3 linked regions of the Struthio camelus genome follow. Each later gene encodes a partner of the first gene's protein in a complex. Links are inferred from orthologs where the notes say so. Each region holds a gene or a part of one and is shown on either strand. Other genes may lie near its edges. The genes, in order: CTNND1, CDH26 and CTNNA1.

Evidence for each region.
Region 2: CTNND1 (region 1) and CDH26 share a complex: the UniProt entries of both Homo sapiens proteins name them as parts of the cadherin:catenin adhesion complex. The link is inferred for Struthio camelus from reciprocal best matches to the Homo sapiens genes CTNND1 and CDH26.
Region 3: CTNND1 (region 1) and CTNNA1 share a complex: the UniProt entries of both Homo sapiens proteins name them as parts of the cadherin:catenin adhesion complex. The link is inferred for Struthio camelus from reciprocal best matches to the Homo sapiens genes CTNND1 and CTNNA1.

What each region holds. Positions count from the first base shown.
Region 1 is NC_090946.1:7,454,221-7,461,354, reverse strand, and holds the start of CTNND1 (catenin delta-1), read left to right. Parts: upstream 1-4,068; 5' UTR 4,069-4,202; intron 4,203-5,259; exon of another isoform or gene 5,260-5,637; intron 5,638-7,134. UniProt on the Homo sapiens protein: Key regulator of cell-cell adhesion that associates with and regulates the cell adhesion properties of both C-, E- and N-cadherins, being critical for their surface stability.
Region 2 is NC_090959.1:14,330,984-14,338,970, forward strand, and holds the start of CDH26 (cadherin-like protein 26), read left to right. Parts: upstream 1-4,888; 5' UTR 4,889-4,938; coding exon 4,939-5,166; intron 5,167-6,729; coding exon 6,730-6,807; intron 6,808-6,891; coding exon 6,892-7,014; intron 7,015-7,560; coding exon 7,561-7,722; intron 7,723-7,987. UniProt on the Homo sapiens protein: Cadherins are calcium-dependent cell adhesion proteins. They preferentially interact with themselves in a homophilic manner in connecting cells; cadherins may thus contribute to the sorting of heterogeneous cell types.
Region 3 is NC_090954.1:20,905,382-20,912,324, reverse strand, and holds the start of CTNNA1 (catenin alpha-1), read right to left. Parts: upstream 3,027-6,943; 5' UTR 2,858-3,026; intron 1-2,857. UniProt on the Homo sapiens protein: Associates with the cytoplasmic domain of a variety of cadherins. The association of catenins to cadherins produces a complex which is linked to the actin filament network, and which seems to be of primary importance for cadherins cell-adhesion properties.

The sequences.
Region 1 (7,134 bases):
GACCACAGAGGCACTCACTCGGGCCTCAAAGAGGTCTGACTCTAGCTGCAATTCAGAGCCAACGTAGGTGTGTTCACGATGGTGCGTTTCTACTGTTTAATTTTGGAAGAAACTCTCCAAAGACTCTAAAGGCTGTTAAATTTCTGGGCTGATTGCAACAGCAGCAACGCAGCCGTGTATCAGGCACGCCAGAAGGACGCCCCAGGCTTTGTGCGCTGGTGGCCGCTTACCTGTCGTCCGTGTCAGGGGCAGCCGTCTGCCGCGCGCTCTCCCCTGTCGCGTGTCGGGGCGCGCGGCGTGTGTGCCTCATGCTTTTTCTCCGGGGCAAAGCCTAGCACGGTTTGAGCACCCTGCTCTTGGCCACCCGCTCCCCTGAGGGGCAGAGACGTGTCAGGAGACCAGCTCTCCCTGTCACGCAGCCTGGGCAAATTGGGACAGCGATGGGGTGAAAGAAGGGCACTGGAGGCAACGCTCGAAATCCACCTGTGGATTGAAATAATTTGTGAGCTGACGTGGAACAGCTCCATCTGGTGACTCCCACCATAACGATGCTGTAGGTTTCATGGCTGGCTTTTTAAGCCTGGCTTCCTGAAGGCACAAGGTTTGTGTGATCGTGCCAGGCTCCCGCGTGCGCCCCACCGCGAGCCTGTTGTACCTCCCGTTGTATCTTTGAACTCCCTGGCCAAGTCCAGCCAACTCACAAAAGTGCCTTCTTCCAGCGCGTCGAGTGGCTCGCGTGGAAAAGAGGAGGGCAGCGAGGGATTAGCCGTGATCCAGGAGCAGTTCTCACTCAAGCCACAGGGCTGAGGGGGGCCGTGTCTTCCCGATTTTGGGAGACGAGGATCAGGCAGGGGTGAGGACGAAAGGGGCGCAGGAAGAAGGTCTCAGTTCGCCTGTGCCGTGGGACAGAGAAACCTCCTGCTGTCTGTGAGAGGCAGAGGTCCCGCCATCCCTGAACCCCCCCCGCCCCTGCTCTCTTTCCAGCCAGCACGTTGAAGAATGTTTTATTGATGTAACGTCAGGGAGGGTTTGGGAGTCCCCCGCCCGCCCTGATAATCTCTCTAAATGTGTCCTTCACGTTAACTTAATCCCATTTCTCCTCCTTAGGCCTTTTTGCAGCACCCTCGGCAACCTCCACCCCTGGCTGGGGGATTACCTTCTTCAAACATTTGCAGGCTGCTATCGCATCTCCCCCACCTCCTCCTTGCTTAACCAGGCTATGCATATTTACTCCTAGAATCACCCATCCCCACCCAAGACTTTAATCGACTCTTTTCCTCCTGCCGTTATCTTACTAGTAATTTGGCACTCAGGACCCGACAGGATTCTCCCCAGTCACTGAATCCAGCCAGCCCAGAACCAGAGACAAGGTGGATGAATGTCACCTTCGGGGGATCTGGATCAGGACTTCTCTCAGGTGAGTGACGCTTAACCTGGAAACAGGCAGGCTCTGCATCGCTTCCAGACCTTTGTTAAAAAAGGGGAAAATCTCCGTTACTGGAAGAGCACAAAGGTGCGCGTGCGAGAGTGCTTACAGCAAAGAAGAGGCTGCCGGTCTCCCATTTGAGCTATCAGTACACCCTCGACTCTGAATCAGCTCCCATATAGTGTCAGCGGCGGAGCCTGGGCCCTGGGAAGTGGCGCCACTTCCTTGCCAAGCTGAGTAACTCTCTTTTGTGGAGTACGGCATTTCGGAATTGTATTTCTCCAGCTGCGTTAGCTGTAATTATTAAATCTCCTGTTGCTACTTCCGGCCCCGGCTCTCTGTATCTACCCAGATCCCCTTGTATTATTTCTGTGACCCAGCAGCGATTGCAACACTGTTTGATTTAGTACCTTGGAAGAGGGGGCAAAGCAGGATTAATTTAGCTGGGTTGTTGTTTGCGTTTGATTCTTTCCAAGTCTACTGTGAAAGGCGCGATTGCTTTAGCGGCGCGCGAAGACCCCGCGCCTTCCCCACTAGACCCCTTCCCAATGGCTTATCTCATCTTTGCTTTGATGGGACTCGTAACAGCCATTCCCTGTGTTTGCAGTCCTTCGGCGGCCCACACGGCCTTGGCCACGCAAGGGGCTTTCTGAAATCCGCCCCTGCTCCCCTTACCGGGGACGCGCCTGCTGGTGCTGGGCCTTCAGGTCACCCACGTCTAGATGAGGTGTTTAGCCCCGGCCGCCCAGGCTGCGTTCCTCCACCCGCGGTCTCAGGGGGTCGCACGCAGGCGAGGCAGCCCCCGTTACCGGCGCGGGCTGCGTCAGTCCCTTGCTAGCCACATCTTGCCTTATCGGGATCGCTCTCAAACTCTCAGTTTTGTCAGGACGGAGGCAGCGGCTGGCGGGGGAGGCAAAAGGAGCTGGGATGGAGTAAGAAACAACTGAAAACTTTAATGGGAAGAGCAGCCCCTGGAAGCGTTCCTGAGCCAAGCATGACGCACAGGCTGCCAGAGCGCAAGCCGATGGGGCAGGGCGCCGCCGCACGCAAATCCGGAGGGGCAGCAGGGCCTGGGGGGGCGCACGGGGGTCCGGCGGCAGGATGGGAGACAGGCTCGGCCTGCGATGATCCCCTGGGCTTCGGAGGCGGCCCGCAGGGGTAGCGGTGGTGCTTCACACGCGCGAGCGTTTGCGGGCTTTCCGCGGAGGGGGCAAGGGTATCGCCTCCCACGGCGGGTTCGCCGCCCTTCTCCGTCGCCCCACGTCCAGGGAGTTCCCCCCCGACTACTGTCGCGTTTCTTCCTCCACCCCCAGCCCGGGGAGGGCTGAGCCCCACGGGTGCCGCGTACGCTCCTTCCCCGCCGCAGGGCCCGGGGCCGTCGCGCAGGGCCCGTGGGCGCGTGCCAGGCCGGGAGGGGGATCCGCTGCCGCTCTGCCCGAAGGAGCTGCCGAGGTGGGGAAGGGCTTTGCCCAGAGACCTCCTCGCCCTGCCGCTCCTGCCGGGGGGCAGAGCCCCAGCCCGGGGAGCAGCTTGCTGTGCCCGGGGGCGGACCCCCTGCCCTGGGGGCAGCTCTTCCTCCCAGGGACAGAGCTCCTCCGCCGGGCAGTTCTTCGCCCCTGGCGCACGTCCCGTCCTGGGGGCAGGATCCCCCCTGGGGGCAGATAACCTACCAAGGGCAACTACCCTCCTGGGGGCAGATCCACCCCCCAGGAGCAAAGACAGCCCCTAGGGCAAGATCCCCCCCCCTCCTTGGGGGCAGGGATCCCCCTGCTTGGGAGCAGGATCCCCCCCCCTTGGGGCAGATATCCCCCCCTCCTTGGGGACAGGTTCCCCCCTCCTTGGGAGCAGATATCCCCCCTCCTTGGGAGCAGGATCCTCCCCCTCCTTGGGAGCAGGATCCTCCCCCTCCTTGGGGGCAGGTTCCCCCCTCCTTGGGGGCAGGTTCCCCCCTCCTTGGGGGCTGGATCCCCCCCTCCTTGGGGGCTGGATCCCCCCCTCCTTGGGGGCAGGTTCCCCCCTCCTTGGGGGCAGGATCCCCCCCCCCTTGGGGCAGATATCCCCCCCTCCTTGGGGGCAGATATCCCCCCCTCCTTGGGGGCAGGATCCCCCCCTCCTTGGGGGCTGGATCCCCCCCCTCCTTGGGGGCAGGATCCCCCCCCCTTGGGGGCAGGATCCCCCCCTCCTTGGGGGCAGGTTTCCCCCTCCTTGGGGGCTGGATCCCCCCCTCCTTGGGGGCAGGATCCCCCCTCCTTGGGGGCAGGTTTCCCCCTCCTTGGGGGCTGGATCCCCCCCTCCTTGGGGGCAGGATCCCCCCTCCTTGGGGGCAGGATCCCCCCTCTTGAGGCAGCCCCCGCCCCCCTCCCCGTTGTTACCACCCCGCCGCGGCGGGACCCCCTTACAATGGCGGCGGCCATTGGCGGGCCGGGCGGCGCCGGGGGCGGCGGCCATTGGCTCGCGGCGCGCTGACGTGCGCGGGGGCGGCCCCGCCCCGCGGCCCCGCCCCGCCCCGCCCCGCCGGAGCAACTTCCATTTTAGGTGCGGGAGCGGCGCGGGGCGCACGGCGCGGCCCGGCCCCGCTGCCCCCTCCCTCCCTCCCTGCCGGCCCCGGCCCGCTCCCGGCTCCGCTCCCCCCGGCCCGGCGGGGCACCCGGGCCGCCGCCCGGTCCTGCCGCCGCTCCCGTGTCTCCTCGCCGCCTCCGCCGCGGCGGGACCCCGCGGAGCGCGCCGCCCCTTCCTTCCCCCCCCCCCCCCAACCCTCCTCCGAGGACCGGCCACGGTAAGTCCCGCCGCCGCCGCCGGGGCGAGCGGGGCCGGCAGCGCCGGGGGTGGGGTGGGGGGAAGGAGCAGCCGCCGCGGGGCCGGCTGCCGCCGGGGGCGGCAGGGAGGGGCACAAAGGCCCCGCGGGGCTGAGCGTCGCGCGTGTCGCCGCTGCCCGGCCCGCAGACAAAGGGCGCGCGTGTGCCAGCGCCCCGGGGCTGCCGCCGCCCCGCTCCGTGCGGGCAGCGAGGGGGCCGCGCCGGCCCGTTCGTGGGCGGGGGGCGGCGGGGCTGCGCCGCGCCGTTGGCAGCTGCGTGGGAGGGCTCGGGGCCGGCGGGGCAGGGGGGTGGGGGAGCGCCCTGGCGAGCTGGAAACTCTCTTATCTGCCTTGCTCGCCTGTCTGCCGCTATCTCGGTTGTCTGCGCCTTTGTTCTCGCGGGGAAGGGGACTTCTGTGCCTAGGGAGGGTCAAGTATGTGGGGTGGAGCACAACCCCCCCCCCCCACACACCCTCTTCTCCCGCAGCGGGTCCCCTGAATAGAACAGCTCTGATCTTAAAAACCAGACGTGTCCGCCTGGCTGGCAGGTGACACCGAAACGCTTCCAGGTGGGGAACAGCCCTGCCACGGTCAGTTCCCCGGAGCCCCGGGCTCAGCAGGCTGTTTTTCTTCAGCTCCCGTTGGCCGCCCTGTCACTTAGCAAGAGATCTGCTTCCTCCCTCCCCACCGTCCGCTGCCTTTTGTGCTAGGAGTCGATAACCTTCTCTGATACTGCCTTTCTCTTGCAACGTGAGGGCTCTGGGAGTGTTGCGGAGGAGAGGCTTATCTTGGGGTAAACGCAATCAAGTTTGGGTGGCCCTCGGACAGCGGTGAGAGAGAGAGGCACAGGCACGCTTGCCTCCCTTGCAGAAGGGATGCTGGGCATCTCCGCTATGCCCCTGGGCTTTGAGTGAGGGAGCCCGGACAACAAAGCTTCCTCTGATTGTTAGCGAGAGGGGTGGATCTCCTGGAGGTGCCTCCCTCCCCGGGAAGGGCTCCGTGCCCAAGCTCTTGCACGAAGCCTGTGACAAAGCAGGGACTCCTGAGACGGCGGGGTGAGCAGGGCTTTTTTTTTGGAGGGCCGGGATTATCCTTTCCCCTGGGAAAGAGTCTGTGGCGTGCTCGCGGCAGAGTTGGACACCCTTGTCTTGGGGCTGTGGCACCCAGCCTTGCACAGAGCTCTTCTGCCCGGCCGCTGGGAAGCGAGAGGGCAGAGTCTGGGCACATCTGAGACCATCTAGGCACGTGGCTCGTTGTGGTGGTATGTGAAGTACAGCCGTCTGCTGCTTGGTCTCTTACCTGTTGTCCTGCCTGTGGTGTTACTTGGCTGCCCTGCACTTGATGTGGAGTTGAAAACAGGCTTGTCCTCAGCTTGGCAGGGAGCGAAATACTGAAGCTCAGCACCACCAGGACCCAGGTACCGTGGGAATCGCATACCCGGTGTTTACTGCTCGAGTCTGAGGTTTCTGTTTCAGTGTCTTGCTCTTTTTCTCCGGGGCGCTGCTCTGGATGTGGGGAGATAGGAGAGAGCAGCTGGGGACAGTCGCAGTGTTTGGTGGTGGCTCGCTCCTGTCTCCTGCTGCCCGCAGTGCATGCTTCTGTGCGTCACGGCTCCCCGGGGCCTGCTGTGGCCCCAGCTTTCGGCTGGAGGCAGGGTTCCCTGGTGCAGCAGGAGAGCTGTGGAAAGCTATGTCAGCAAGAGCCCTAACGGGGGATGTTTTCGGCTTCCCCAGTTACCTTGTCTGTACCATCCTGCTCTCGGCACTTGAGGCAGGTTCTCTTACTTGTTTCTGACTGTTTACTCATGCACTTAAGGAGTGTGTTTTTTTTACACTTGATTGAACTTGGCTGGGACTCGGTTGCATGCAAATGACTGTCCTTCGCGATGTGCAGCAGTTGTTGGAATTTTGCAAGGAGCCTTCCGGGAAGGGGTGGGAGGATGAAAGTGGCTTGTTTAGTGGAGCGTGCTGGACGGCTTTGCTGGGCTCCGCTGGGCTGCTGCGGAGGGGCGAGCCTCCTCCCGTCTGACTCTGAGGTCAGGCCCAGATCTTTGTGGTTCGGTAGCCCTCGAGATCCTCCCTTCCCTAAAGACGGACTAAGAGTCCGAGGCAGATGCTTCAGCCCAGCCTGCAATCAAGCGTCCCTTGTTTTCTCTCCCTCCTTCAACTTCTGACACGGAGATAAAACCTCGATCCATTGTGTTTGTATTGGGGTGGTTTAGGACGCCCAGCGAAGCGTAGCATAGCTTGGATCATGCCTGGAAGGCTGAGTCCTCAAAATAGTTTACCGGTGCCTGTAGCCTTAGGGAAGAGTCCTAGTTAAATCTCTTGGTTTCTCTTCCCAGCAACCCATCATAACTGTCTGGCCTTTTACTACTGGCAAGCGCAGAGCCCTTACTCAAGATTGTGGTGATACTGTCTTGAGGGATATGCAGAGCTTTTATCCTGGCCTAAAAAAACCCCTTAATCCCTGCTCTATTGTTGTTTTTCCTTATTTCTGCCTTGTTGACAGTGAGGGGCGGAAGCACCAGGCTGGTTTGGGTCCATAAAAGGCAGCAGGTGTTGCCTGGATGAGGTGACAAAACCAAACCTGTTGGGTGATTCAGGCAGCTTCAGAGCTCTGTGTGCGACACAGGGCTTGGCTGGTGGAGGAAACCGTCCTCTGGCACACAGTGCAAGAATGTGTCTCAACACGAGGCTGTTGGAAAGGGACTGGCTTTGCAGGCTTTAGACCAAAGTCCTGGAGTTTCCCAAGGTGGCCACAACCTCCTCTTCAGCTTTTGTTCTTGTACAGGCCTAAGAGGCTGTTTGGAGGAAACTTGTTCTTTCAGAACTAGTGTACTGGGGACTCCCAGCAGCAGGCTGATAGTTGCAGCTTTGGATCATGAGTCAATCGGTCTCCTGCTTATCTTGTG
Region 2 (7,987 bases), on another chromosome or scaffold:
CTGACAGACCAGACTTTTCAAGTGGCTCCTTCCCACTGTGTTGTAAAATGAAAAAGTAGCAAATACTAAATTATGTATATAGTTAAAATGCACTTTTATTGGTTGATCTCATCTTGGTTGTAAGATGCTTAGTTGCTTCTATTCTTTCATTGTGCCTACCTGATCTTCAGCTTGGTAAAATTTCAAAGCATGGATTTAATGTAATTTAAAATGTGATAATAAATGTAGTAATAAACTAGAGTATTTTACAGTACTTAAAAAAGCAATGCTCAGGAATAGTTTAAGAAATATTTTTAGTGTCTTTTTCCTAGTCAACTGGAGACTAAATGGGAAATTTTAAATTGATGAAGGAAACAAATTTAGTATACAGTATTATATTTACATATTCAGTATTTGTTACCTTACAGTTAAAAACTAATTGTTCCATGTACGTTCTGTTCTATGCAATTAAAGTGAAACTTAAATCTGACATGCTCAACGATCAAATAAATTGGCTGTGTCAGAGGTGTGGTGACACTAAAGAGGACGACATTCAATTACCAGCAACTGCAGAGCAGTAGCACAGGCTTCTGTTTGCTGTTTCATCCTTTTGTTTTGTTTCAGAGTCGCCATGTAGGTCAGCTTTTTTGGATCAAAAGGCCCTGCATCCAACGCTTGAGTTTCAAGCTTGGGCCAAATCCTGCAAGCCTTCATTACTCAAGTTTTCCTGAATCAGTAGTGAAAGTTACTCCCGTTGCTAATAAGCAGTATTATCAGTGCACTATTTTGGTGCGCTATTTATAAGCACCAAAAGCGAAGTGACCAGGATCAAGTCCATAATCAGCATGGCAAATTTTTTTAAACAAATTCTAGTAGAAGCAATAATTAATTAGCATGTTATTATAGCACTGAATATTAGTGTATGCTAAATTTGCTTCTGAAAATTTGCTCTGTATTGGTGTTTCCCTAGGTTACAAGGAGAGCATGTAGATACCTGCACATTTTGCATGGTTAGTTCTCAAAAAATAAATAGTGTTTCAGTCTGCCTTGAATAGAGCAAAGGTGATTCGCACTGAGAGAAGGTTTTTCTCACAAACCTATGGGCTTCGAAAATTTTATTGTAATGTACTGCTTGTGGTCTGAAGGACATCGATCTGTTCTTGGGGACTGAAAATTTAAGTAGGCAGAGACGCTGATGCCACTTAAATAAATCTGAACACCTGTTAAACATTGAGCTATGATCTGGCAAGTTTGTCTTGCATGGTAATCACACAAGTCTAATTTTTGTTCATTGATGATTTGGTACTTCTTACGCAGTCCCCTCTGTTCATATACAGAAATACAAATTCTGCGTTATCCTTAATAAACAGCTCTTAAAATAAGCAGGCTCACAAGGGTTGGATTTTATCCTGCAGAACTTTGCTTCTATTTTAACTTGTCCATGTTCTGGGCTCACAGATGAAAAGAGTTCCTTTTATGATGAGGGCTAAGGTTTATATTTCCTTCATTCTGCATTCATGAATGTTGTCTTTAAAAGCACCTCTGAATATAGCAGAAAAGTTGGTTAGGTCAAGTACTTTGTTTGGAATTAAAATACTTGCACAGGACAATGCTTGTGTGGTTATTTATATTTTTCTTCACTATATTTAGCAATATGATGATACATTCTTGTGTGTCTAACCCTACTGTTCAAGGTATTTTTGAAGAAAAATTTTCCTGTGATTTGAGATATTTAAATGGGGCAATTTTTTTTTTTCTAGATAATTTAAAGGTTTAATGTTCTGTAGTACTGCCTACAGAGCTAATACACTCAGGTTGCATTTTAAATAAAATTGCTAGATTCTACTAGTATAAACTTTGAATAAGTCTGTTTTCAGTGAAATTATCCTGTTACAAAGATGTAACAAAACAGAATTTTGCTCCAAAATATATACACACTGTTTTCCTTACTAATGGTATACCCTATTTTTAATGCTTAACACTAAGAATTTTGAAACAATAGAGTTCTTCTCTTTGCATGTTTCTTCTCTCTCTATTGCCTGCATCATCTGCAATGAAATACTGTGGTCACTTAGAGGGTTGTTTCCCCACCTTGTGGTAGCTTTCAGTTAAAGACCGATGTTCTGATGTTTATGCGCAATGCTTCCCAATCCTCATTTTGTAAGAAATCAAGCTTTTGCAGTTACTCACTGAGAAGTTATGCTCCAAAGAGAGAGCATTTGTGTGAGCGCTATTTAACATCCTGGGAAAAGGAGCTTCAAGTATGATGTGGAATCATCTTCACGTGGAAGAGACTTACAAGGAGGACTCAAATCCGTCTCCACCGCTGCTTCAGTATCCTAAAACATAGGGTGTCCACCTCTTAAGGCTAGTAAAATGGATTATTTTTCTTTGCAAATGAGAGATTATGTTTGCTGATAAGAATTCAGCAGTAGTGGGGCGATACTGCTCCTTGAAGAGGCAAAAGGCTCCGTATTCTTTGTGCGTAAGACAGGAGACCTCAGCTCCTGTGAGTTTACAGCAAAGGGGTTGCCACGGCTTAGGAGCTCTCATTCCCCACCACTGCCTCTCCCAAGATGTTGCGACTGCAGCTCCCAGCCTGTGTGCTACCTGCGCTAACATGCCTCTGCTGCTGCCCGCTGACCTGTGCCCAGCATGGGGCAATAATGTTGCACATGATGACAATTATGCCTGTTGCATCCTCCCTTTCTGTGCATCATTTAATGTTCTTTGAGGTAATCTATATCTAGCATTTGCTGTTTAAAGGATCTTGTTATGGGTAGACAATATTTTGATGAGAGTTTTGTCAGTTATTGTGTGATATTAAAAATCTACAGTACAAAACTGCCTATGGTGTAATTTTTTGGCCTTCTTTTCAAAGGTACTGAGCCTTTGTTGCTCCCATTGGCTTTAGTGAGTTTTTTGGTAGAAAATAATTAAACGCACCATTCTGTCCAGAAAGAATGGAACTCTGTTAACTGATAATTTCTAGCCCAGCTTTTGATGTCTGGTAATCATGTGTACTTGTTTATTCTAAGTTTCTCTCTCTCTCCTTTTTTATTTTTTTATTTTTTTTGCTAGTAATTTCATTAGAAAGTCATCTTGTAACTTAAAAGTTACTGTCTATTTACTTTATATGCATCTTTGTTACTTGCTTGTATTTTTTTGGATCACCCACAAGATGGCACCTGTGATTTTTTCTTTTAGATAATTTCTGTTACCCCAGAGCTGAGCTTTCTAGGCTGCTGTATCTCAGCTATATTCCTACTGGTAGCCAAGGTAGCTAGTTAAAAACTATATGATTATTTCTATTCTACATGGCAGTTACTTCTGTAGTTGCTGTTTTAAGGCATCATAATACATGAAAATACACACAGACTGTACTTCATCATATTGAGATCTCTCTCACTTTCTTCAAAATCTCTAAAGTTAAACATTACAAAACTCCTTTGGGAGGTATCACATAACAATTTGACAATCAGAAGAGATAAGATGATACAGCTTTTCCAAGGAAAATGTAACCAACAAGCCAGACCAACCTTTTCCAAATGTGGTATTAATCAACTCAATCACCGTTTTCAGAGAAACTTGCACTAAGTATAATAAAGCTTAAGGTTAAAAATTTTACTTATCAGTTCTTTTCTCAGCTTACTTAGGCAGCTAGCAGTTTGCCCTGGACTGAAAAGGAGCCACTCTCCCCTTGTTTGAACCTCTAGAGCGGAGCTGCTAAATTATCTAGGTATGTTCCATAATGCCTATGCCCTTTGTCTTTGTGCTCATGTTGTATTGCGTATCCAGCTTTAGACGTTCATATAGAAGAACTTCAGTATGCAAATTGATACTTGCTTGATGGGTTGCACAGAACAATCTAGTTTAAGAAACATTTTCAGAACTTGTTCTTGGTTCAAAGTCTTAAGTAACATAATAGTAACTGTCACGGTTATGACAGATAAGAATTGCTCAGGGTACTGCATATATATATATATATCAGAAGTATTTGTAATAGCATGTCTCCACTAAATATGAAGTAATATGTTTGCATTTTTGTGAGCAACTGTAAAGTTACCAGGCAATCACATTTCTGAAGAACTCTTTAATGAAAGCTGCCTGTCTATTACAGCTGTATAATGGCCATAAAAGTTCAGTAACGACACATTTGTTTTGAGTGATAGTAGAAGTACCAATTACAAAGCAACTGAAAAAAAAAAACCCACCAAAGGGGAGCTAAGTTTTACTTTGAGTCATTTCAATATTACAGAACAGAGTTTCATTTCATTCCTGTTCTGTCTGCCAGGCAGAAATATCTGCTTTTCCCTGGAGCAGCTCTAACGCCTGTGGAACTGTAGATGATAACTATTTAGTAAAGAACAGAAATAGTGGAAGTGACAATAGTGAAAAACAGATTTTGTTGTAATAAGCCACTGTACAAAATTCCTAGGAGCAACTCAATTGAGAGCATCCAAAATCCTAATGTGCACCCTCTAGACCGGCACATGGAAGAACTGAATTGTCGGAAGGGTTCCCCCTTCCAGCGGGGCAGAACAGATGCTCAGCGCACTCTCTCGCACTCTGTTCTCACCTCTGTATCTCAGATAGCTTTGGGGGGAACTCACTATATCCTGCCAAGGAGAACAACTGGGCTGAGACATCTCTACGTAACTGAGGCCTATTCTACATCAAAAAGGCATTGGTACTAGAAGAGATCCATCGCTGTAGCTTTTCTGAAGCAAGGGTATGGGAACAGACACAGGTCCCATGCAGGAAACATAGTTTGGTGTCGCCTAACCTGTTTGAAATAAGGGAACCCCAGAGCTGCAGGACCCCCACGGATAGTGGTACAGTCAGCACACCCTGGGAATCGCCATTGGGGTAGCCTGCTTGTGCACCAGCACCAAGGTACAACATCATCAAGACAAGAGGGGAGCGAGGACTGCCGAACGCTGCCTGTGAGCTGCTGCCATGGGCCAGGCCTGGGCTGCCCTGGAGGAACCAAGGAGGAGGTGCCTCGTGGGGCAGGTGGCCCTGGCACGGCCCCGGTCCCTCCTTCCTTGGCTCTGCGCTGCCCCCGGGGTGGGCGGACGCTGGGGTGCGGCCAGGTGCTTCACGGGCACTGCTTGGCTCCACACCCAGCTCCGCACTTGGCTCTGCGCTGCCATGGAGCGACTCGCTGCGCTGCTTCTCCTGGTGGTAGGTGAGGGCTTGGGGGGGGGCGGCACTTCGCTCCCCGCAGGGACGAGGCCTCCGGCCGCTGGGTGGGCTCTGAGGGTGCAGCCTGCCCCCCGAGCGCAGCACCCCGGGGAAAGGGTAGCTGCTTTGCCCCCCAAATGCCGGGCTCAGGTCTCTCGCAAGGGGTTTCCGGGATCAGTGGTGAAACGGCCTGCATGGAGCTGGGGCCTTCGGCTCGCGGTGAAGATCCGGGGGCGTTCGTGCCTGGCAGAGCGCACTGGTGCCCAGTGCTGTCTCTGGTGGGTTTATGATCCCCCACAATAACTCATCAGCATTTCCGTGAGCATTTCTGTGGGGTTTATGGGCCTGAACAGTGTTGTTCCTTACTAGTGGTGGCCAAGTCTGGAATAGATACGGCAGCAGCTGCAGCCGTTGCTGCGCACACAAAGGAGTGCAGAAGCTGTAAAAATACATGATTAAAGCTTTTTAGTATACTTAGGAGTGGTTACACACAGACGGGGAAAGCAGCTGGGGGCGGCGGCAGGGGGGCTGTCCGGCACAGACAAGGGCTTACAAAGTCCAGCAGAGCTGAACCTGGAACTAAGCTAATAAATACTACCATTCAAGTGCCAGGTTAAAGCCTTGCTTGCTGTTTTTACACCGCAGAGGCCCAGGTCATACAACAGCTTTACAGAAAAGCTCCAAAGCACTACCCATGAGCCCCATCGCTTGGGGTGTGGAGTTAATAACCGCAGCAATTCCATCAGTATTTTGTTTCTTCAGAAACAGATCAGGAGATAAAGGCCTGACCTTTACCCAGTCTAGGTGGGAATAGCGCTGCTCCTTTCTTTAAATGACACTGGAGACCTTTTGACAGAACAGGTCAGCAAAAAGCAAGCTTCCACACGAATATTGCGAGAATGAGGAAAAAGGTGTACAAGCTGTCTCTGAGCTAATGCCAAAAGTGTAATCTGAGTACTATCACACTTGCAGTGGAAGGAAGATTTTTAAGTAAAAAGCAGTGTTTGAAGCTTGTGTAGGAATCCAGTGCTTATAAAAGCTAATTAGGGTGGAATTCCATTCTCAACAACGTATTTTACTCACGTCCAGGTTATAGACTTCGGTCCAGTTTGGGACACATAAAAACATGACAAAGTTTTTGAGAACCTGAAATACTATTCAGACTTAATATTTTCAGCAGAAAGTTTACATCCTGTCAATATAAATTGTAAAGGCAGGGAGAGACAGAGGGGAGTATTTCCGTATTTCAAGTATCAAGAGTTGGTTTGAGAGGAAGCCACAGAGATAACAGTCTGGAGAGTTCGAGACAGCATTTGCATGTTTCTGGGACTGGCATCACCTGACCAAAGAAATCAGTAGCCAAGGTCTCATGCCACTTCACTTGCAATGGGAAGGATGATATCTCTGGAATTTCTATAATTTTATAGCGTTAACTACAATGTAACACACTGGTGTCAGAACTGAACCGATACGTTTCTGTGAAGCCAAATTCCTCCCAGGCAACATTCATTCCAATGTTTTCTAGCTAACCACACTTCTCACAATGGGCTTCTCTTTTATAAGGTTACTGCTGCCAACAGCTTTTCTCACGAAGTTGAAAATTTCCACTTAAGACAAGCTACCCAAAAGAAGAGCATCCAGGTTTGTAGTCAGTGTTATTTAGTAACAGATACACTACAATTAGTACATAAACTACAGCACTAAATGCACTTCTTTATCCAATAGTGGCTAGATTCTTATCAATTAGATGGTCTACATCCTCTACGGCGTACGAAAAGGACATGGGTTATTACCACCATTGTTGTTCAAGAGGAGGAAAAAGGACCATTCCCAAAATATGCTGGACAGGTACAAATAAGCTTTTAGTACAAGCTCTTCCTGAACCTCTCTGTAAGGTTTTTACCACCAATTCTACAACAAAACATCAAGGGTGGAAGAGGGCAAGAATGCCCCTGTGTATTAGACCTTTTTTTTAAAACTTCCTTTGTTCAAACTGCCCTGTTTAAACAGAATTGGGTGGAATCATGTAGTGGGAGGGGGAGATTGCTCCTTTCTTTGGGAAGCTGTTGCCACACTTAGGAAAACGAAGAGACGATGGTATGGGAGAGGTGAGAGAGTCACTGCACAGAGCTGCGAGCCTGTATATTGTGCAGAGAGAGTGGAGAGTGTAGTGGGCTGGCAGCTGTGTCTCAGAGGTGATGGCAGGGCCTTTCTACGGACAGAGAGGACTGGGAGGAAAGTGTTGCAACCCAGAAAGCTGCTGGGTGGCTGAAAGCAAGCCTGTAAGCAAGGTCCCGTCTCCAAAGACAGAGCGGCCAGGAAGAGAATTGGTCTAAAGTATTTTACCTCTGTTCTGTCTTCCTTACTCACGCTGAATTGTGTTTCTTTTCAAAGCTGTTCAATAACAAATCATTTAATGCATCAGTACGATACTTAATCAGTGGACCTGGTGTAGATGAACATCCAGAGATTGGATTGTTTTCTATAGAAGACGATGCAAACGGACATGTGTATGTACATCGTACCATTGACAGAGAAAAGACCCCATCTTTTCAGGTAATCATGCTTTAAAAGAATACCTTCAGCAAATTTTTTCTTTTTCTCATGGCCAAATGCTTCACAGGAATGAGATATGCCAGTAAGAATCTGAAGGGTGTATTTTTGTCCTTCTTATTTTGAATCTCAAAATAAATGCAAAAGTAATCGTCTTAGCAGAAACGAACAGGTAACTTCTGCATCACTATCGATTCTATAACCTTTGTGGCATGTGTAGAGTTCCACAAATATCAGTACACTTCTGTTCTGTTGTATTTTTCATATA
Region 3 (6,943 bases), on another chromosome or scaffold:
CACATTTCGTTTAGCATCCCGTACAGTCAAGAGATGCCAGTAAAACAGAAGCTGCAAGTCCTTCAACGGACTATCTCAGCCATGTATGTCCTCGCTCTAGACTAACCTTAATATCTATGCTTAGTAGATCGGGTTCTCTGCTAAATATTTTTGTGAGTTTAACTAATTCTTTTCATAAGAAAGGATATTATAGAGCAACAGTATGTATAACTTCCACACAGGCCAAAGTTCTACTAAAGCTTATTTTCAGCTCATAAATATCTCTACTAAGGCGGACTCTTTTGCAAGATCAGTTTCTGGATCTTACAGCTGCAGAAGGAAGAAATTTATGAAGCTGAAATACACAAATTACTTTTCTTTTATAGCTTTCAGTTAACTTGATCTGACTAACGGAAGTCCTACGAATAAACTGCATATTAACACTTGCCATTATACACGTTTTAACACCATCTCAAAGGCTGATGCTTTACAAAGTTTGAAAATTTTATCAGAGGTAAATATTTGCTTTGGTATTTAAAGTCATCAGTTTGGGTGCAGTATTTCTAATCTTGACCTAGTGTACTCCTCCCTGTCACCGTGGGTAAACCTTTAATCTCTGATGCAGACACCTATTATTAGAGCCAGCTGACAAAAAAAAAAAACCTGACGGCATTTTGTTTATTATCAAATACATTACAGCAAAGTGTTTCTAAAACAAAAACTGAACTTTCATCTGTTTCTCTTAAGAAGAGCCAAAGATATTTCCTTTATGTTTTCAAAACTGTTTTCCACTAAAGAAAAAAACAGAAAATGACTCAACTTAAAATAATGCCCTTTCAAGCAAGAAGATTCAGTTCAGCAGGAAGAGAGAAACAAGTCTTCTAAACACTTAACGCTGCCTGAGCACACAAAGGCAAACCAAACAGCTTAGCGTGCTCCAGACAGATACGTGGCAATCTGCCTTGTACCTGAAAGACCACACATATACTGCAAAGTAAGCTTAGCCTTTCACCTACATTGAAACCCAGACTAACATCCCCACAAACTAGCCCAAGAGCTGAAAATAAACTAGCACCTTCAGCTGGGTTTGAAAGTGCTGTAAGTCTGATCTAGCCAGCATGACTAAGGATGTAGGTTAGAATCAAAGCTACAGTTAGCAGAGCCTCTCCTACCGCCCCCACTTCCCTACTCACAATGCAGTTTAAAAACAAAACAAAAAATACAACCAAAAACAAAACAAAACAAGAAGTACAACAGGACCGACAAAAGACTGCAGGGAGATCCTAGACTATTTCAATAGAAATAACCATAAACATGCCTTGAGTCATAATTGTGAATGCTGGAATGAGAACACAATAATGGACGCGCATAACTCAGACGAGGCAAGTGGATTATTGATCACTCACGCTGACATAGCGATAACATACACACTGCCTTGCGGGTAAGGCAGGCAGACCAACGTGAGAGGAACAGGGAAGTAAGCTTCGACCACATCTAATTCTTGCCTAAATATAAGAGACTAACATACTTTTTTGTCCTCCACGTATTTTCAGCCTAAAATATTTCACACCCATTGAACTAATGTGAAAGGGACTAACCAAGAATAGCAGGCCAATATGTATTAGTCAGTAGCCCACAGGCTGCAGGGATGAGAGTTGAGGATAAAACAGTGACTGAAAGCATTGATGCAGTCTCTCTATTGTTTAGATGTAAGAAGTGGCATGAAACTTCTGGTCAGCAGAGAAAGGGTACTTGTCTTATGGCATTATAGGTGGCTATCAAAAAATGTGACATGGCTAAGTTAAGGGAAACGGGGTGTTCTGGGATGAAGAGAAGTTGCACTTTACGTATTCAAACACAAACACCAGTTTGGGGGAGAACTGCATAAGCTTGTTTTAGCTGCATCACAAAAAAATCTGCAGGTAGAACAGAGAAGGAAGAGCATACCAGTGTTGTCAGCACCAAACCCCAAAAAACCAACAACCAAAAAAAAAATCAACTCATCACAAAACTGAAGCAATCAAGCAACGCTTTCGGTAACCCATGCCAAGCAGCAAGATTCAACTCTGCAAATAGTTGCCTGGGGAACCACGTAGAAGATGCCTGTACCTGACTGCTGCCATGGCAGGGACCGGACAGGTTCACCTAGCCGTGCCCAGCAGCTGTGGAAAGTTTTTTTTTGGTGCGTTTTTTTTATTAAAGCAAAATCCCTGCTCCCACCCGAACCAGTCCGGTAACTGCGGCTGACAGTCTTCCAGCCCGATCCGTACTGCTGCTGGAAGCAGAGAGCTCTTCTTTGAACAGCAAGATAACATTAATCTACTCGTGCCCAAAAAAGCCACCCGCCGCCTGGCCGCTCTCCCCACAGGAGCCTCCCGCCCCCGCCGCGCCCGGCAGCTGGCTCTGCCCCCGCCCCGGTGCCGGGCAGGGCCGCACCGCCCGGGCGCAGCCACGCGGAGCCCCGCCGCGGCCCGGCAGGCAGCCCCGGCCCACGCCCCGCCGCCGGCGGGGAGGCGGCGCGGCCCGCTCCGCTCCGCTCCGCGGCGCCCGGAAGCCAGGCGGGCAGGGCCGGGCCGGGCCGCGCTCCCTCCCCTCCGCTCCGCGCTCCGGGCCGCCGCCGCCGCCCGCGCCGGGACGGGGCCGCCACGGGGCGCCGGGCCCCGCCGCCAGCCCCCACCGCCGCCCGGGGGCCCCTCCCGGCCGCCCGTCGCGGGGGCCAGAGCCGGGCCTGGGCCCCGGCCGAGCTCGCCCAGCCCAGCCCGGCCCGGCCCGGCTCGGCGCGGCCAGGCCCGGCCGCGGCGCCGCGAAAAGTTTCCCAAGTCGGAGGAGCGGGGCGGGGGGAGGGCAGGGGAGCGGGCAGCGCCGCCGCCGAAGTTACCGGGAGGGGAGGAGGGGGGCACCCGCCGCTGGATCCCGGGCCCGGAGCCGCCGCGGCCGCTTTGTCTCGCTCGACGCCGCTCCCGTCCCGAGCCGGAGAGAGGAAATCGGCTCTTCCGGGCACCTCCCGCCTCCCCGCCCCGCACGGGTCCGGCCGGCTCTTCCCGGCGCCGCCCGCCCGCTGCCGCGCGCCGCCCCTGCCGCCCTTGGCGGCACCGCCCGCCGCCAGGTGAGGCGCTGGGCGCCGGCCCCAGCGGCCGCGCGCGCGCGCGAGGGGCCCGCCGGCCGCGCGAGGGGCCCAACGGCTGCGCCCGAGCCCCAACGGCCGTGCAAGGGGCCCAACGGCTGCGCCCGAGCCCCAACGGCCGTGCAAGGGGCCCGACGGCCGCGCCCGAACCCCAGCGGCCGCGCAAGGGGCCCAGCGGCCGTGCCCGAGGGCCCCAACGGCTGCGCCCGAGCCCCAGCGGCCGTGCCCGTGCCCGAATGGCCGCCCGCGAGGGCCCCAACGGCCGCGCCCAAGCCCCAACGGCCGCGCGCGAGGGGCCTAACGGCTGTGCAAGGGCCCCAACGGCTGCGCGCCCGGCCCCCAGTGGCCACACGCGAGGGCCCAATGGCCACGCCTGGGCCCCGACGGCCGCGCGCGAGGGCCCCGACGGCCGCGTGCGAGGGGCCCCAACAGCCGCGCGCGAGGGCCCCAACAGCCACGCGCGAGCCCCAACGGCCGCATGTGAGGGCCCCAACGGCCGCGCCCGGGGCCGAGGGGGCTGCGGGCGGCCTGTCCCCGCCTCAGGCCTCTGCCAGCCCCCCCCCGAACGGAGCCGTCCTCGTGCCCCGACCCCGCTCCTCGGGCGCTGCCGGGACCCCAAGCAGGGCGCCCCCAGCCCTCCCCCCGCTGCGCTGCCCGCCGGGCGCCGCGCGGTTTGCGGCCCTGCCGGCTCCGCTACGGGCCTGCAGCGGTATCGCTGCGGTTTCTCAGTGGCCAGGCCGTGGGGTTTAAACCGGTCTTCCGCTTTTTTGGTTTCAGTGGTTGCACAACCAGCCCGCCTCGCGCTCGCTGTGATTTCTGCACGCCGGAAGCGTGAACTTGCTCGAAACCACAGCCTTTCCTAGCAGCACAGGGCAAAAGGGCAGGTTTCCCAGCTGCTTCTTGTGTTCCTCCCCCACTGGCCCATACTTCTGGCACCTTTGGTCAACTTCCTTCTAAGGTAAAATGAACGTTTTAGGTCAAAACACTTCCAGGAATCAAAAATCTTCTAGCTGCCATCAGTGAAACTTAGAAGAACTGCGTAGTCCCCCAGGTTTACGACGGGAAATCGCAGAGACGTTCAAAATCCATGCCGTGTCCGTTGACTGGGATATTAACGAGCTATAATTAATCTTTCGACATCTGATTTGTGTAAATCAGAAATGGAGATACAGACCATGCCATACGGACCCCGCTGATGGTCCCTAACCAAAGTCTGATACAGCCTTTAGTCTTCCGGGCTATCGCAAGATACAAGGTAGCAAATCTATTGGAAACGGGTGGATACGTGATATCAGCTTCGCTGGGAAAAGGGAAAAAATGACAGCTCGGTTCCTCTTGGGTTTTATAAATTGCTGTTTTCTTATGAAAACCTAATGTTGTATCTTAACATTTCTGAGAGTTGTCGCTTTTCAAAAAATGTCTTGTTTTCATGCAAATGTCTCTAATAACAAGCATACAGAGGAAAAGCAATAGGGGAAATCCATGACATAAAAGGGCTGTCAAGCTGTGATAATGCAAGTGTGGGAGATTTCAGAAACGGATGTATGCTATTTTAAATGTCTCCTGGAATCCAAATGCCAGAGCCTCCATCAGAAAAGGAGGAGATTTTAGAAACTTAACATTAATCGAATTGAGGTCAATCTGTAGATCTGGAAGTTGTCTTTACACAGTAATTTATTTCAAAGGTTTCTTTTTTCAAAGTGTCACTGAGTCTCTTGTGTGAGGAACTGGCCGCTTTCATTCTATACCCAACGACTTGGGGGTTTTTTTTGTAGTACACTTTGAGATTACTTTTAATACAAAGGTCTCCACAGAACTTGTGCTTGTACTGGATTGCAAAACCAGTCAAATAAAGTCAATATGTTTCGTGACTCATTTGCCAACATTTCTAAGATGCCTGAATCTACTTGCTCCTTCCTTTGATATTAGTCAAAATCTAGAGAGACTGGGAAAGCCTAGCAAAGAGTATATACTGGAGCTATCTAATCTAGTTAAGGTAGACAAAGCAACCCATGCTGGCTCTCCAGGGGCCGTGCAATCAGGCTAGTGCCATCGCGGAGGAATGCAATGCTTTAGGACTATGATTTTCTTCCAGGTCTTGGCTCCGTAAAGTCAGCAAGACCATGCTTCCTATTTTTGCCCTGCCGCTACAAGCCTGTCCTGCGGGAAGACGGACTGTGGCCTGCAGCATCTTAGATTGCATTTTGTTCTCCCCACCGGTTTAATCCAAGAGGTTAGCAAGCCAGAGAAATAAGCATAGTGCCATTGTTTTACAATCCGTAAAGAAAATAGGGATCAAGAGTCCAGCCCTGTTATGAGAGAAGTTAATCGAAAGAAAGTGAAGTCTGTAATTATGATGCTGGCTGAGATATAAGTTATTAAAATAATATAGAGTATTCAGTGTCTCAGCAAACAGACTTTTTAAACAGATGCTCCTCTCTATAAGTGCAGAGAAAACATGGATTTTTTTAAAGATTTTTGTATTTCCTGCTTGTACCAAACCATTAATATTTTGGTGTCAGTTGCACCAGGGATTCAAACTACTCATTTCTGATCTGCAGCATACTCTCAATAAAATTGAGTTTACACTTCAATAGCTTGCTTTCTTTCATTACTCCGTTTAATATCATGCCTTGGCCTCCTGTGGTGGCTTCCACATTCAGCAGTTTTGCACGTCTCACATCCTTTCAGGGCAAAATGTCAGATTAAAAAAAAAAAAATCCCTTTTCAAACTACAAACTCAAAGGTAGAAGGCCTGGCGTTCTGGAGAATCGCACTTTCTGTACCGCACTGTTGAAACGCGAAGCAAAAAGTAGAAAATTAGCTGGCAGCTCCGTCAGTTCATGGATCATCAAGTTAAAAGACTCAGCAAATAAAAAACAAAATTATGTAAAAACAGAGTCGGCTAGGCTTAGATTGGACTTTGTCTCTTAATTAACAGCTCTGTCTGGAACACGGTAGCAGGCTCTGTCAAGGAGACAGAAATGCAAGGTGTTGTTTAGACAGGCACCCGGAACAGTAGCTAACACTTCCAATCCAGTGACTGTCATTAAGACAGCATCAGGCTGTGCTGGCAACCTGAAAACCAGTCCCTTTTTTGAAATGAATTAGAAGTTTTCCACCTGACCCTGAATCTCCCTTTTAACAGTGTCTGTGGTTTTGTAATCCCATTTTCCTGGTTTTAAAAAGTTTCCCTTTTTGCTGGATGAAAACCAAACGTAAACCAGGGAAAAGGACAAGCAATGAGGGGAGACTGTTACAGTGGTGCTGCGTGTATGTTGTTAAGCACACAAAACAAACAAATGCTTTCATTCTTCGCTCTGTGACGGCAACTCTGCGCCTAGTCCGTAAGGGTACAAAGTGGTTTGTGATTGCACACCTTGGGCAGCATGTCTGTGTTAGTCAGCAGTATGCGGAAGGGCAATCCCTGATATTGCCACTTAAAGATACTAGTTCAGGTGTAGTCGCTGTAGAAAAGTTGCCCTTTTGCTATTGTAACCTGGGGGAGACTTATATGCCAGCCAAGGAGGTGGTTGGTTCATATAGCACCTGGCATGACCATGTTTTTTGTTCTTCCCAGCACACACCGGGTCTAAATGCTGTACTTTTGGCAGGAATTGGATTTTCTATTTCTGGGACAACAATGCTGAAAATAAAATAGGTACGCCATGCATACGTGCATGCCTGCCTTGTTTTGGAATGCATATTTGATCTTTTTATATTTTAATAGAGGCATTTTAGTTTTGTTATTTGTGAGGCTGACTCAGGGTTGAAGCAGAAGTAAGGACTATTGAGATAGGACTGCTGTGGTGAGAGACGGTAATGGGAAAATTAAGATGG